2 linked regions of the Macaca fascicularis genome follow. The protein of the gene in region 2 interacts with the protein of the main gene of each other region in a pairwise test. Links are inferred from orthologs where the notes say so. Each region holds a gene or a part of one and is shown on either strand. Other genes may lie near its edges. The genes, in order: PEX19 and PEX16.

Region 1 (4,576 bases), on a different chromosome or scaffold from region 2:
TAGTGGCAGAATTAGGGCTGGAATTTAGGCTTTATAACTTACAGTTCATAATATTTTTATCCCAAAACACACTACTTGTGGTCAGAAGGAAACAGGTTTTGCACAGATACGATTTTACATGTCTGTGCCCTGTCTGTGAAAGACATAGTAAGTCTTTCTGGTGCTTGATGCAGTACTCAAATGTGTGTTTGGGAAGCTAAGCATGAAAGTGATGAGGTGACTTAACACAGGAATTTTTTTCATTTAAAATTCTTACCTTGTGTCATACTTACTGTGTGTATATCTCATCATACCTGCGGCTCACCTCCACTTAGCTACCTTACAGCAGGGGGTGGTCCTGATTTATCTCTTTGTCCTTGCTGTGCCCAGAACAAGACCTAAATAATAGGTGCTCTCCAAGTGCTAAAACAGATCTGTATGTGAAACAGTTGCTACATTCTTACAGATCTGAATAGAACAATTCCAAAGGAGGAAAGGGACGTCTAGAGTTACCTCTATCTGAGCATCCCCGGTGTTCACTCAGTTGGAGGTTGGGTTCTGTGTGGAGAAAAGGAGATTGGTCAGGGAAAGCAAGTCTATTACTAACTACTACATTCTAATTGCCCTGCTCAGTCCAAGGTCCCAGATGCTCTCTTTCTAACATTGAGTTCTAAGTTCCTGGCCCTGTGTCCTTTAATCAAACAGTTCTAATAGAGAATAGGAAATGAGAGATGCCACTAGATTGGGCAGACAGATGTGCCTGATTAGGGACTGCAAGAGCAAAGAGTGGCCAATGAGTGCCTACTAAGTTTTAAACCCTAGCCTAGGAGTTGGGCTTTACAGCAGCGAAGACAACAGACGAAAATCTTCGCCTTCATAGTGTTTAAATTCTGCACGGTGGGGAGCGGAGAATAAACAAGCACGGTAGATAATATGTCAGATAGTGTTCAGTGTTAAGAAGAAAAGGAATGGCCAAGTAAAGTGTTTCAGAGAAGATAACATTTGAATGAAATAATGAAGTGAAGCCGGGCGCAGTGGCTCACGCCTGTAATCCCCAGCACTTTGGGAGGCTGAGGTGGGTGGATCACCTGAGGTCAGTAGTTCGAGACCAGCCTGGCTACCCAGACTGGCCAACAAGGTAAAACCCCGTCTCTACTAAAAATACAAAAATTAGCCTGATGTGGTGGTGCATGCCTGTAATCCCAGCTACACGGGAGGCTGAGGCAGGAGAATCGCTTGAACCCAGGAGGCCAAGGCTGCAGTGAGCCAAGATAGCGCCACTGCATTCCAGCCTAGGCGACAGAGCGAGACTCCGTCTCAACAAAAGAAGTGAGAGAAAGTAGTATGTTATGTACCATAATTGTCATATCAATCATATATGTATAGATTCTGGTTATTTGTAGGCAGTTTGTCTCAATCTAGCCTACTCATAGCTCAGGAAGAAATAATGAAAGAGCTTCGCCAGGTAATTTGGGAAGTTGAAAGGAGTCCGGGCCTCTAAAACCAGGCAGAAAATAACACTATCTTATCCTTAATTCTGTGTTTCACAGGCGAAAGGGGAAAAATACCCAAAACAGAAACTCAAAGCTTCCTGGCCCTTTAAAAATGGCGGTTCCGCACTGGCCAACAATACCATTGGTTGCCCGAGGCAGAAGAGGGCAGGAACGAAGGGGTGGAGGGCGTGGCGGCGCCGAGGGGTCCCGCCTCCTACGGCAAGTCGGAGGTAGCAAGATGGCGGCCGCTGAGGAAGACTGTGGTGTCGGGGCAGAAGCAGACAGGGAATTGGAGGAGCTTCTGGAAAGTAAGAGCCCATAGTGGGAAAGGCCCGAAGAGGGCAGTTGTGAGGACCCATTCCGGGCGTTAAGTGAACCTGAGGTATTAGGGACAGGGCGGGAGAGGATCTCCAAAGGTTAAATGGGGGCGGAGAGTCTGACCGCCAGCCCCCCAAAAAATCTCTGGGTCATCCTGCCCCACCTCCGCGACTGGAGCTGGGGAACTCACCTGGGGTCCCCCAGTGGTCCAGATTGTGGATGTTTCCGCAGGACGGCGTTTCATGATACCTCTCCAAACTCCTCTTTCTTTAGGTTACTAAGTTCTTAAAGTCCGACTTCAGCAGCAGCAGCAGCAGCATTTGGTTCTTGTTGGGTAGCGAACCACGCACTCACTGATTGCTTACATTAACTCCTAGCAAGCTCGTGGCCCATGCTGCTGCGCCTCGTCCTGCCTTCCTTGACATGAAAGACACTTTTCTCCTCGTAGTCCTTTTCTCTTTCTCTCGTTAGGCCCCTTAACAGTTCTTTCATCTTGTTAGTAGCTCAAGCGGACTCCTTTCCCTTATTTTGAGAAACTGAGGATGTGGCGATTTCAGGGGAAAGCAGTTCACCCTCCTGAAAGACGGTGGATGTTTTCTTAGCATTACTGTCCACTCCCCTGTTGGCTTCCTGCCCAGAGTGGGGCCAGTGCTCTCTCCCTGGGCCTGGCAAGCAGAATGGTGGTGAGGACACAGGCTTTTCAGGGCAGAGGTGAATTTGTAATCTCTTGCTCGATCACAGAGATGTGGGCAGGCAGAAGAATGAACAGAAACGCTGAGGAGTGCCAAGTGACTGTAAATTAGCCTACGGTTATCTGCAAAGATCAGACCAAAAGGAGCTCTAGGAGGTTGTGGGAGAGCACTAAACTGGAGAATAAGAGAAGATAGTTTAATGCCTTACCATGGAATGTAGTATGTGGTCCCTCAGTCTGTGCTGGTACCAGTACCAACAAGAAGCTGGGTGGGATGTCATGTGCCTTCTCACCAAGTTATTCCTTTTAGAGCTCCAGAGTGAGTTCAGAGGGATGAGGACATCTGTGTTCTCTACTCCTGTTGGGTATTTATTTGTATGGGATTTCTAGGGAATCATTAGGTTGTGGCAAGGGAGACACTATAGATGGAGATGTCTCTGCAGAAATTTTTAATCCTCTCCTCCCAGCTCTGAGATGGATACTTGTTCCACCGTAAGGGATTTCTTGCCTTTGCTCACAATAAATTAGGTAATCTGGAAGGAAGTAGGAGGCTCATTGAGGGTGGTCTGGGGAGGTGGGGGCCTCAAGGCGGAAAATTGAGGAAAGTTGGCAATTTGAAAAATCATATTCGTAATGCTTTGCCCAGAAACCACCCAGCCTTGCTTGCATCCTCATCTGTCGCCAACACACACACCATGTCTCTTGTCTCTGAAGGTGCTCTTGATGATTTCGATAAAGCCAAACCCTCCCCAGCACCCCCTTCTACCACCACGGCCCCTGATGCTTCGGGGCCCCAGAAGAGATCGCCAGGAGACACTGCCAAAGTATAAATTCCACCCCCTGAAGGGATGGGGAGGGGATGGGCATGCAGCTCTGAGCAGAGGTTGGGCAGGCCCCTATGGGCCAGAGGGGAATGGGGGAGGGTACCTTGGCCTCACATTGGTGAGTGCTCTTGCCAGCCTCAGTCCTTGTGAAATAAGGACTTGAGGTTGAGTGGAGGAATCTCAGAGTTCCTTGAAAAAATAGTAGGTTTAAATGGTTGGATTGGTATGCCATCCCATACCCTCTTTCAAAGACTAGATACCTTTTTTGCTATTCTCATTAGGAGCAGTAGTTAGAGTGTCCAGTGGAAGTGGGTAGGAGGGAAGTGCATTTCCCATAGCTACTGCCTGTGGCTTCTATCAGAGGCCAGGTGCAGTGTAGTTCTAAGTAAGAGATGCATTTCAGCCACCCTTCCCCCGCAGGATGCCCTCTTCGCTTCCCAAGAGAAGTTTTTCCAGGAACTATTCGACAGTGAACTGGCTTCTCAAGCCACTGCAGAGTTCGAGAAGGCAATGAAGGAGTTGGCTGAGGAAGAGCCCCACCTGGTGGAGCAGTTCCAAAAGCTCTCGGAGGCTGCGGGGAGAGTGGGTGAGGAGACCTTAGATACATGGAAATATCTGAACAGATTCTTAAGTCTTTGTTGCCTGAAAACACCAGAATTCTTAGTGAAGTTGATAGTAATCATGATGTCACAGCCATGGAATGGGTAAAGGCAATGAGAGAAGGGGTGGAAATCCCTCTTTTTTTTTTTTTTTTTTTTTTTTTTTGAGACGGAGTCTCGCTGTGTCTCCCAGGCTGGAGTGCAGTGGCGTGATCTCGGCTCACTGCAAGCTCCGCCTCCCGGGTTCACGCCATTCTCCCGCCTCAGCCTCCCAAGTAGCTGAGACTACAGGCGCCCGCCACCACGCCCGGCTAGTTTTTTGTATTTTTAGTAGAGACGGGGTTTCACCATGTTAGCCAGGATGGTCTCGATCTCTTGACCTCGTGATCCACCCGCCTCGGCCTCCCAAAGTGCTGGGATTACAGGCTTGAGCCACCGCGCCCGGCCGAAAATCCCTCTTAATGAAAAGGGGCGAGATAGGTTAGAAAGTAATAGAAAAGATTATTCAAAACTGACCATTTGAAAGGTCACAGTGTTATTGTGGGTATCATCATGGAGAATAAACTGACATAGAGTCCGTGTATTAAATAGATGTATGAAAAGACTATCAGGATAACCGCAGTTTTCCCAGATGGGGAGTGATAATGATTCACTAGTAAATGCTTCATATCC
Region 2 (4,496 bases):
GGTCAGGGATGCTCTGCTGAGCACCATCTGTGTAGTTGGCCTGCGTCACCCCGACCCAGGACCCCCTCCACAATCCCAACCTACTTGGCCAGTTGGATGAGGGCGATGACAAGCCAGCGGCCCACTTCGCCCCACACTTTGGCAGCTCCCATCTCCATGAACACCTCCACGCACTCCAGCACGCTCAGCCATGTCAGCAGCTTCTGCTGGGACAGCGACTGCAAGAACCCCAGGCCAAGAAGTCAGGGGGCTGCCTGTTGTCCCAGGCCCTTCTCCTAGGAGGGAGCTTCTCTGACAAGAGATGTGGACTTGCCCCTTTCCAAGACTAACTGTGCAGGTGTGAGTTCAAACACCAACTCCACCACTAACAGGCTGGGGGACCTGAAACAGCTGACTCTACCTCTCTTCATCTGAGACAGTCTCTTCATCTAAGATGGAATACTCACACTTTACAGCTCACCTAATGAGATGGTTGAGGCTCAGATGGACATAGGCCTGTCTCATACTCCATGAGACACGTGCTGCATGCATGGGCTAGCTGCTACTATTTCATTCCTGAGTCCCCATGCTTCCCACCCTGTTCCTGGCAGAATTCTCACCACAGGCAACTTTTTCCGAAGCTCCTTCCGTAGGATCCCGTCATTGAGCAGCACAAGCAGGTTAGAGGCGGAGTACACTGAGGGGTAGAGTGTGGCCTTGAGAGGCTGGCTCTGCAACCTCCATCCCTCTCACCTTCTGCCCAGAGCTGCAGGGATCACATGTCACCTGCTCTGCTCAGACACCCACAGACTATGTGGAAACCAGCCTGCCTCTCCACCCACTTCCTCAGCACTCCCCTCTCCCCAACATGATCTCACAAGGGTGGTTGGACCAAGAAAGGATGGGTCAATCTCAGTGACAAGCCAGCTACTGCCCTGTCGGATGGCACTGGTCATCCAGCTGCCCACAACTGCCCATTGCTCTCTGAACTGCCACAGATATGCGGTCCTTCCTCCTGGCCTTTTTTCTCTCGGCAGCCTGTCCCTGAGGGTCTATTCCACCTCCACTTTTCCTTTTTCTTTTTTTTTTTTTTTTTTTTTTGAGACGGAGTCTCGCTCTGTCGCCCAGGCTGGAGTGCAGTGGCCAGATCTCAGCTCACTGCAAGCTCCACCTCCCGGGTTTACGCCATTCTCCTGCCTCAGCCTCCCGAGTAGCTGGGACTACAGGCGCCTGCCACCTCGCCTGGCTAGTTTTTTGTATTTTTTAGTGGAGACGGGGTTTCAGTGTTAGCCAGGATGGTCTCGATCTCCTGACCTCGTGATCCACCCGTCTCGGCCTCCCAAAGTGCTGGGATTACAGGCTTGAGCCACCGCGCCCGGCCCACTTTTCCTTTTTCTTTCTTTCTTTTTTTTTGAGTCAGAGTTTTGCTCTTGTTGCCCAGGCTGGAGTGCAACGGCACAATCTCGGCTCACTGCAACCTCTGCCTCCTGGGTTCAAGCAATTCTCCTGCCTCAGCCTCTCAAGTAGCTGGGACTACAGGCACCTGCCACCATGCCCAGCTAATTTTTGTATTTTTAGTAGAGACGGTGTTTCACCATGTTGGCCAGGCTGGTCTCAAACTCCTGACCTCAGGCGATCCACCCGCCTCTGCCTCCCAAAGTGGCTGGGATTACAGGCGTGAGCCACTGCACCTGGCCTCACCTCTGCTTTTCAAAACCCACTTCATTCTTTCAGGACTGTGACAGCAGTCACTGGACAAACACTCTTGAGGTAGTTACCATCTGCGAATCCTGGAATCTGGGAGATCTAGACTCGAATCTTTGTTCTGGGACCATCAGTAAGTGTTCTCTAACCTCACTGAACTTCTTCCTTAAATGGACAGTGAGGACAATAACAGTTCCACTTAATATGACTGTAGGGAGGATTAACAAGTAAAGGTAAGAAAGGTACTTAGCCCAGCTCCTGGCCAGTAGTGAATACTCAGATAAGGTCCCCAGGCTGTCTCTTGACTTAGGGACATGGAAGGCCCAGGACAGTGAACAACAGACCTTGTTCCGATTCAGTCATAGCACAAGGAGTCTAACGGGCAGTCCAGGACCTCGGGTTGGGGTGTTCACCCGCTCTGGGGAACTCACCTGGGGCCAGGCAGCCGATCCCCCATCCCCCACCCCCAGAGCCCGGCTCACCCAGCTCTGACAGCTCGTGCGAATCGGCGAATCGACCTGGGGAGAGGGTACAGAGGGAGGTGTGAGTGAGCATCTGCCTTACATTTAGTCTTCAGGTCCCGGACGTCCCCTCCCTACGCCCTTTGGGAACCTGGATGGGTCTTCTCAAGCACAGCGATCACTACCCTGACTCCGCAGGGAAGGGGGCCACTGGGGTCATAGGTCAGGGCCCAGAAGGAACGGATCAAAGGTCAAGGTGGCACCTGCCAGCAGGTAACTGAGGCCCCGCACTGCCGTCTCCAGCTGGGCCGTGGCGGCCGGGTGACGAGTCACGTACTCCTGGTAGCGGAGGCCCAGGAGCCGCAGCTTCTCCATCCTGCCCTCGGCACCAACAGATCCACGGAAGGACTGTACGCCAGGCTGCGGCGCCCTGCTTCCTGCGCCCTCCTTCCTGCTTCCGGTCTTAGGCCCACCTCTGGGTTGCTTAACTTCCGCGGGCCAGAAGGCTGGTGACTTGAAGAGCCGGTGAACCACCCTTCACCCCATCTCTTGAACCACTTCCCATTCGGGTAGCGCTTAGCAACTGAGGGCCCAAACCCGGCCCCCTACTCCCTCAAGTCATTGGTTAGCACGCTCACCGCCCCTGACCCGCCCAGTGTGATCGGCACCCAGCTCTTCCGTTTACTGGGTTGGCTGCCTTTGCGCCTGCGCAGTTAACACTCCGGGACAGCTGGGCGGCAGTCAGAGCAGTTCATTCTAGAGAAGGGAGCTGGAGCGCCGAGTCTTTCCAATGGAACGCCGAGAGACTCGAACGGCAGGGCCGGACTTTAAAGGGCTGGGAGATAGCGGGTTCTTGAAAAAAGGAGCCTCGATCAGATTCGGAGAGATGCGGGCGTCTAAATGCAGTCGGACTGTGTCTCAGAAGGCGCGCGTTCGGCCAGTATCCCCATCTCCGTTTCCTCAACAAAGGTAGTGCTGGGGAAACTCAGGCAGTAAGGAGTCCAGCCCCCTAGTGCCGTCTGGATCCCCTAGACAGCACAGTTAGTGCTGGGTTTCGGCCCCAGCTCCCGTATGCACTGTGCCCCCCACGGGCGCGCGCCTGCATTCCCACATACGCGAAGAAAGCCCTGGCCCGGGCTTCTCTCGGCTAGGGGGCCCTTGGGCGGGAGTGTCCCTTCTCTGGGTCTCGGATTTCCCGATCTGTAAAATGGTTTGAGGGCAGACTTGATCCTTGAACTCAGAATCGATCTCAGCTTTTCGGCCCTCGGACGCACCTCGCAGTCCTCAGCTGCGCCCCAAGGGAGGGGGCGACTCCTGCGGAATACCTTCCCAAACCAAGCAGCCTCCCTGGAACGGGTGGCATCGGGAGAGCTGCGGCGAGTGGTGGAGGGGACCGGCGCTCTGGGGGGGCAGCCGCTGATTGGCTGCGGGGAAAGGGGCGTGGCAAGGGTGAAGCAGTGGGCCAGCGGATTTATGGTACCCTGAGAATAGTAATAGTAATGCTTTTTGTTTGTTTGTTTTGTTTTGTTTTTTTTGAGACGGAGTCTCGCTCTGTCGCCCAGGCTGGAGTGCAGTGGCCAGATCTCAGCTCACTGCAAGCTCCGCCTCCCGGGTTTACGCCATTCTCCTGCCTCAGCCTCCCGTGTAGCTGGACTACAGGGGCCCGCCACCTCGCCCGGCTAGTTTTGTTTTGTTTGTTTGTTTGTTTGTTTGTTTGTTTGTTTTTTTGGAGACGGAGTCTCGCTCTGTAGCCCAGGCTGGAGTGCAGTGGCCGGATCTCAGCTCACTGCAAGCTCCGCCTCCCGGGTTCACGCCATTCTCCGGCCTCAGCCTCCCGAGTAGCTGGGACTACAGGCGCTGCCACCTCGCCCGGCTATTTTTTGTATTTCTTAGTAGAGACGGGGTTTCACCGTGTTAGCCAGGATGGTCTCGATCTCCTGACCTCGTGATCCGCCCATCTCGGCCTCCCAAAGTGCTGGGATTACAGGCTTGAGCAGGATGGTCTCGATCTGCTGACCTCGTGATCCGCCCGTCTCGGCCTCCCAAAGTGCTGGGATTATAGGCTTGAGCCACCGCGCCCGGCAGTAATGCATTATTTTATCTAATCCTCTCCACCAGATATCACCAGATGAAGAAAGCATCCGTTTAAGAACGCCCAGCCAAAATTTGAGTGCTGGTCTTTTCTGACCTCAGAGACTAGGCGGTTTCTTTTTATTCATTTTTTTTTTTTTTTTTAACTTTAATTTTCTTTTTAGAGACCAGGTCTAAGCATTACACCTCACCAGGAAACCACAGCCTTCCTTCCACTGCCTCACCCCACCCTACTCCATAGCTTAGTTTTCTTCTCTATCA

The links.
Region 1: the proteins of PEX16 (region 2) and PEX19 interact in binary tests that used the Homo sapiens proteins (3 or more experiments, as listed by UniProt). The link is inferred for Macaca fascicularis from reciprocal best matches to the Homo sapiens genes PEX16 and PEX19.

Annotation. Positions count from the first base shown.
Region 1 is NC_088375.1:100,773,769-100,778,344, forward strand, and holds the start of PEX19 (peroxisomal biogenesis factor 19), read left to right. Parts: upstream 1-1,698; 5' UTR 1,699-1,710; coding exon 1,711-1,780; intron 1,781-3,195; coding exon 3,196-3,305; intron 3,306-3,725; coding exon 3,726-3,891; intron 3,892-4,576. UniProt on the Homo sapiens protein: Necessary for early peroxisomal biogenesis. Acts both as a cytosolic chaperone and as an import receptor for peroxisomal membrane proteins (PMPs).
Region 2 is NC_088388.1:19,943,952-19,948,447, reverse strand, and holds the start of PEX16 (peroxisomal biogenesis factor 16), read right to left. Parts: upstream 2,831-4,496; 5' UTR 2,520-2,830; coding exon 2,408-2,519; intron 2,202-2,407; coding exon 2,115-2,201; intron 1,849-2,114; exon of another isoform or gene 1,758-1,848; intron 677-1,757; coding exon 600-676; intron 219-599; coding exon 85-218; intron 1-84. UniProt on the Homo sapiens protein: Required for peroxisome membrane biogenesis. May play a role in early stages of peroxisome assembly. Can recruit other peroxisomal proteins, such as PEX3 and PMP34, to de novo peroxisomes derived from the endoplasmic reticulum (ER).